Tribolium castaneum: one gene and its partner. The protein of the gene in region 2 interacts with the protein of the main gene of each other region in a biochemical or structural test. Links are inferred from orthologs where the notes say so. Each region holds a gene or a part of one and is shown on either strand. Other genes may lie near its edges.

Region 1 (3,253 bases), on a different chromosome or scaffold from region 2:
GTGATTTCGTTAAAGTTTAAGCGATTTTTGTTCGTGTTCTTAATGAATAAGGCTCTATTAAAAACATCATTTTTATTGCTTACAAATGGTCTTACACTATCTTTTGATTGCGGAAAGGCAATTCGTTGATACTCCTGGAGAGGATTCGCATAAATTTGAAAGTTAGTTCTTCCGGCACTATTAAAACTTTGTACTAACAACGTGGCTGTTACAGTTATGTATAAAGAGAACAATACCATTACACAGTACACTATTGTGACAAATTTAGATTGACATTTTTGTTTCAAATGTTTTATAAAACGAGGGACACTAACTATTTTTTAGAGTATATCGTTGCACATTTGGGTACAAAACGCTAGTTAATACAGGATGGCAATTTTTGGACAATTAGCTGCGCTTCTGCTAACTATGTATAAAACCAGGCGATTACAACAGCTAACGCGAAAATTGACATCGCAATGGCGCAAACAATCAGATACTTAACATGCTAGTAAGACGAACATACCTAGAAATTTTGACTAGTTTTACTAAAAAGTAAGACCGCAGAACTTATCTTCAACTAATCTGAATGTATCAAAGTCCAGTCTTCTCCAGAAAAAGTTCAAATGTCAGTCTTGAAGTGAAGTTTTAGCCCTGAAAGAAGAAACTCAGGTATATTAAACAATCTGTTATAATTTTTCAATGTATTTATTGAATATCCATAAAATTCTTGAGAAAATATTAATCAATCACAAATAATCGGCGGTCCAGATATAAACAAACTTCAAACCGATTGTCACATTCTAATTTAAATCATAGTAACAACACAATCAAATTCATATTGTCGACGCAGTTATAACAGCATTTCGTAGGCACTTAAAAGGAATGTGTAAATAAGGTATAAAATCCTTAGAAAATTTTGTCTCGTTTTTCTGAAGATAGAAAACTCTTATAAATTGGTAAAAATGCTTTGTGCATCAATTTTGTCAATAAGCACCCTGTAATTTGATTAATAAACCAATAAGACGTACCTACTGTAATTCATGATGGCCTACACAAGTGTTCCGATGGAAAACTTGTGTCAGCCATCACTCAACATCAAGTCTTATATGAATCCACACATATAAAACTATGACCATTCAGTGAATGCGAAACCAACTCAACATGTTACGACTACCACCAAAATATTAAACTTTTGATCACGTAACAAAAAGGAATGCTTGGCGGTAATCTCTCAGTCTTTTTCTTACCCACTCGTTCCACTACAAGTTATATTTTTCTTCTACACTCTCGATACAGCATATATACCTACTTACACAATGATTAAAGGAAGTGAAATGCAATTAAAAGTACTCAATTTCACAAATTAAACTAAATACCAGGAATGTGATACAAAACTCGATTTTCGGTACCCGAATAAAAATGGGGGCGAGTTGTTTTCAATTAATTTAAATTCACCACAGGCAGAACATCGAGCATCAAATTCTTAATAAGCTAAGAAAAACTCATTCAAAGCAATTTAAACCGAAAGGGTTGAAGATAAAGATATGGTCTCTGAGTCTTTTTTTTTAATTCTTTACAACTTTTTTCCTTATGTTTTTTTGTATCTTCAACCGTATTCGCAGCGTTTTGGGGGCGGGGTGCGCAAATTGGTTAGTTTTCGAGCAATTTTTACGTCTTACTATTGAGAATGTGATGCTCTATTTGCCTGTACTGTCTTGTACTCACCGTCAAATACGCATTTTTTATTGTGTCGCATCCCAGTATTTAGGACCGTAATCGTTCCCCAGTTGTGGCTAAATGATTTTTAATGTTAATCCCACCCGAGTGGCAATAAATTAGTAATGAAAATGTTAAAATAAACAAAAACTGCTGCAGATGTGTGATGTAATGGCGTTTTAATGGAAAAGCTCTCAAATCCGTGGTAACATTAAAAACATTTACTCCCAACATGAATCGTAAAGATTTACGCAAATAAATATTACAAAAAAATCGCTACATCCTCAATAAAACATAATAGATAATAAGACAATAGCTTGATATGTAATCCAGAAACTGTGATATACCAAGGGTCCGTTTCTCATTACAACTTTGAAATAAAGTCCATCAGTGCTACCAAAAACAGTTGTGACTAATATACATAAAATTTAAAAACTATAACGTTGAACCGGGTACGTGTCGAGAAACTCGGATAACCAATCAAAAACAGCTCTCACCATTAATAGACTTAACACACATGTCTTGTTTTCTGTTTAATTTTTAAAATAAAAATAGGAAATGAGGCCCCCGCCCAAAACAATAGCGCCCGCTATAAATAAAGGTTTGTATAGAGACCTCTTCAGTTGTGTCCACTGCTCGTTGGCTTGCTGCCGCCGTTTCATGTCTCTCACTTGGGCCTCCAACTTTTCTCTTTGCTCCACGCGTTTGCGATGCCTCAACTCGGACGCCGACAAACTAAAATTACTCATTGATTCACTCCCAACTGCAAGGGGGCTGTTTTACCTGTCTGAGGGGCTCACAGGCTCCGAACACGGACTATCGGAACGCAAATCCTCCAACTCATCTTCACTAGAGCCCTCTTCTTCGTCACCGGGAACCACAGGCAACGGACCGGTCGGAATGTACTACAATAAAAACACCACTGAAAATAATTGCGACAAAGCGTAAAGTTGCTTCGTACGCGAGGAAGTCTCAAATTGTCGTCGGGACTGACAAAACTAATTTGCCTCATGGAACGCAACAGCATTTTGTTATTTAATTACGTAAAATTTAGTTTCATTTTTAACACAACAGACATTTAAAACGTGTCACAAAACAGCCCACTTGACTTACCTCATCACTATCGCCTTCGTAACTAAACTCGTTCAAGGAGATGCTCTTGGGGATATTTGGAAGCGGCCTGTCTAAAGGAGTACCGTTTTGTTTCTTCAGACTGTCTAACCGGGGTGGTGGGAGAGGAGGCGGTCCGTCATCGTCCGAATCGGATGCAACTCCGTCTTCCGGTTCATTATCCACGATTATATGATTTTCCTAATAATTAATTCAATTTTCAAGTTTTGTGCTTGGAATTTGGATAATAGGAGGGATAGTTCAAGGATGAGTCTGGAAAAGTGGAAAAATAGGAAAGGTTTTCTTTATTTCCACCTACCGTAGGGCTCGAATCTGGATTGAGTAGTTGTTTTGCACCTTCAATGATTGCTTGATATGAAAATCTTAGTTGTTCGGGCGTTTGAATCAGTCCCATGCGATAACTTCGCATCTCACACAAAATTTC
Region 2 (3,803 bases):
GTAAGCAATTCCAATCGTATTTTAAAAATTTGCACAACTAACTCTACACGGCTTCTCGATGTGTTTCATAAAACAAAAACAGTTTGACGTAAGATTGTCTTTTTTTTACAAATGAGCAACCAAATAATTTTAAAAGTAATAAAACACTCGACACTTCTGTGTCTTATTTGGCAATTTTTTCTACACTCAAAAAGAAAGACATCTCTATTAACAATAGTGTGGCGTACATTAATAAAAAATAGTATGAGAAATCACATAGTAAAAAATGAAACGAAAGTAATAATTCCATTTAAAAATTAACCTACACGTAGGGCAGAACATCCGAATTAGTAATAAATTTAAACTTGCATTTTGTGCAATTTCTTGCATTAATTTGAGAAGAGGCTGCGTTAAAATAAAGCGAAAATATCATGCTTAAATCTCAGTTTTATTACGAATAGTCATTCACTTTTTTAACTAAACAAGAAGAAATATTTGAAACATCAATATTCGAGGAAATAGGTATTAGCTTAGATATTTCTTAGATATTATCAGCTGTTTCAAAACTATAAAAACGCGAGTGTCGCATTTTAAAGAATATTTTTTTAAATAAGATTGATAAAAATATAAAATAGTTATTAATGAAATTATAAATTTCTCATCGAAATTATAAATTACATTAACTATTAATTTTTTTAAGTTTAAGTGCATAAATAATTTATAACAATGCGACGTTGGCGTTTTTATAATTTTGAAACAGCTAATAGCTATATAGTTTGTTTTGATAAGATTCCATGAAGTCGGTAAAATTTTAATTGTGGAGTCATAAGGTGAAAATATAAAATATTATTTTTTTTATAAAATTTATAAAGGCTATTCAGTTATTTGAATTTTTGTGCAATTTTTTGTATTAATTTATTAATTAATTTCTGCGTTAAATAAAGCCAAAGTAGCATATTTAAGCCTCAGTTTCATTAATTGTCTATTATTTGAACTTAAAACAAAAGATATTTGTTAAAAAAAACGAAATATTTGAGGAAATATTTAGTTTAGTTTAGTTATTTTGTGTACGTGTTGAATACAAGATGTTTTTTCACGAGTGCCTGGACCACCACATTGACTTAAAAATTGCTTAATTATGAACAGACGTCATGCTCACTTTTGATAAGATGCCATAAGCGATCATTTGTTCCGAATTCTTGAGTTATATTTTCATTTATTTATAATTTAACCGATAAATGGCGTTTTTCTCGGCATTTTTGAGCACATCCTAAGTGATTTCTCCAAGCCGCTATTTGTAATTTCATTTGCGCCTTGCTTCCGTTTAAATAAATTTGGTTCCGTCGGCAGGTAAAAAAGGGCGCCGGCTCTAAAACCCTCCCTTCGAATAACTCTCCCTCCCGGACGGTGGAATCCCCCAGTATGGCGCGTCGTCAAGCCGCCGATCCCTCCGAAGCCATCGGCACCGCCGTCGTCAAGTACAATTATCAAGCCCAACAACCCGACGAACTTTCCCTCGTCAAAGGTTCCCGAATTCTCATCTTGGAGAAGAGCAACGACGGCTGGTGGCGAGGTCAGAGCGGGAACGTCGCCGGCTGGTTCCCTTCGAACTACACCCAGGAGGAGGGCGACGCCGACGATACCCTTCACACGTACGCGATGGCAGAAAACGTGCTAGATATCGTCGTGGCGTTGTATTCGTTCTCGTCGACAAACGACCAGGAGTTGTCTTTTGAAAAGGGCGACCGATTGGAGATTTTAGATCGGCCTCCGAGTGATCCCGAATGGTACAAAGCGAGGAATGCGCAAGGACAGGTCGGCTTGGTGCCGAGGAATTACCTGCAGGAGTTGTCCGAGTATTTGACTCAGCCGTTTCTCGACCGAAAACAGGAGCCGATGGAGAGGTCGCAAGTGGCAATGGGCGATAAACCCCATCTGGTGGACAAGCCGTGGTATTATGGGAGTATCACGAGGTATATGTGTGATAATCTCCTGAATCAGAGAGGACACGATGGGGATTTTCTCATCAGGGATAGTGAAACGAATGTAAGTACAGTTGAACCTCTATAGCCCGAACTACGACACGACATACAAATAAAACGGCCCAGTTCCGTTATCGTTATAGTCTTTAAATCGAAATGTTATGGAAAAGCTTAAAAATGTTTAGTCAAAGAATTAAAAACAATTAAATTTCAATAAATTCTCAAGAGTAAGGGATGAAGGTGATGCAGTCGAAAAATATATTAACACTACGAAGACAAATGTTGGGTAAAAAGTAGCCACAAATAATTTTTTTGTTGATAATTTTAAAACGTCTCTTTAAGAAAAACGAAAAATTGGCAAAACAACTATAGTTTGTGAAAAATGTAATCGACAAGCTGAAAAAGAATTAGAGTAAAATGTTGTATTAAAAACTGTGTCTTTTTATAAAATAAGACCAAATAAGTACTATTTTATACGTTTAGTTAACGAATTTGAACATAAAATTATAATTTTTAAAATATGAGTGGTTGGGTATTTTGTAGCCAACTTTGGTGTATAACAATTTACTGAAAAAACTTCCTAGGAATAAAAACAAAATTTATGCTTTTATCAATTTACGCACTATCCCGTATCAAAAAAAGTGTAAGAAATTTGTAAAAAGTCAGCAAAACTGTTTCTCTACAGCCACTAAGACCTTAAACGTTCAAGCTAGTTGAACATAAGATTCCCTGAGGAATTTTAAATTAATTGAGTCATGATAAAAGTTAGGGAATTCCTCACCGAATTTTACTTTTTCTTTTAATTTGATTGTCGATAAAATGCACTAATTTTACCTCTGACTATGTATTAGTCTTTAGTTTAGAGGAGACTAAAGCACCTACTTATAATAAAATAATAAAGATAATAAATAATGATAATAAAAAATGTTCCGCCAGAGTTTTATAAGTTTATTTTTAGAAGATTAGAAACTTTATTTAAGTGTCAAAAAAGTTGGAAAAAAACAGAAATTAAGTATTAAAATCTGGTGACTTAAGACACATTTTATATTAATTCCTACAGCAGGGACATAATTTTTATTGCAATAAATTCCATTCCGAAATACGTAAAACACTTAAAATTGCACAAAAAAGCTAAGGAGAAGTTAACTAAACGTTGATCTTAAATATTGTTCTAAATTTGCTGTTGTAAAATCTGTCCTTTTTTCTGTAAGAATTCATCTCTACCTAAAAAATGAATTCATTGTATGGAATTACCGCTAGAAATATATATTACTAAAATCACGCACCTGTGTATTACGATTATTTTTTATTCAATTAATATTTCTATTTTTGGTTAGATTTTTATATCCATAATTATTTTATACAATTTGTCACTAACTAATTTTTCCACTCCTGAAGTACTTTTTTCACGTGTTCAATGGCTTCAACAAGTTACAGGTTTTTTTTGCTATTTTATAAATAGCATAAACTAAAATTTTAAAGTGAGAAAGTAAATAACATTTCAAAATGGCTTGACTAAAATACTCGTAATGCTATGCTTTTGCAACGGCTCATGAATCTTTAGTAATAAAAGGCAGTGCAACATTAAAAAATAATACGACCAGTATTTCCAACTGAAAAGTAGAAAAATAAAAAATTCAAACACTGACATTCTAAGAAACTTTAACGCTTCGAAACTAAAAAGATAAAATGAACTGAGACTGAAATTCTGAAGAATAAGTGAATAAGTGAAAAACTAATTGAAAAGCTGAAAAACTTAGAAACTGAAAAGATGAAATACAAAAAAACTAAAAACCAGTGAAATTAAAATTCCAGTTCTGTAGAACTAGAAAGAGTGAGAAA

What was found.
Region 1: the proteins of dock (region 2) and Ptp61F form a complex in vitro, tested with the Drosophila melanogaster proteins (2 studies listed by BioGRID, with this or other methods). The link is inferred for Tribolium castaneum from reciprocal best matches to the Drosophila melanogaster genes dock and Ptp61F.

What each region holds. Positions count from the first base shown.
Region 1 is NC_087394.1:35,291,907-35,295,159, forward strand, and holds the end of Ptp61F (tyrosine-protein phosphatase non-receptor type 61F), read right to left. Parts: coding exon 3,128-3,253; intron 3,010-3,127; coding exon 2,812-3,009; intron 2,604-2,811; coding exon 2,482-2,603; intron 2,434-2,481; coding exon 2,232-2,433; 3' UTR 669-2,231; downstream 1-668. UniProt on the Drosophila melanogaster protein: Non-receptor protein tyrosine phosphatase. Required for maintaining dock/dreadlocks in its non-phosphorylated state. Negative regulator of InR/insulin-like receptor signaling through dephosphorylation of tyrosines when recruited by dock/dreadlocks.
Region 2 is NC_087398.1:11,595,522-11,599,324, forward strand, and holds part of dock (SH2/SH3 adapter protein dreadlocks), read left to right. Parts: intron 1-1,329; coding exon 1,330-2,025; intron 2,026-3,803. UniProt on the Drosophila melanogaster protein: Adapter protein that links cell surface receptor tyrosine phosphorylation to downstream signaling pathways and effectors, many of which are involved in regulation of the actin cytoskeleton.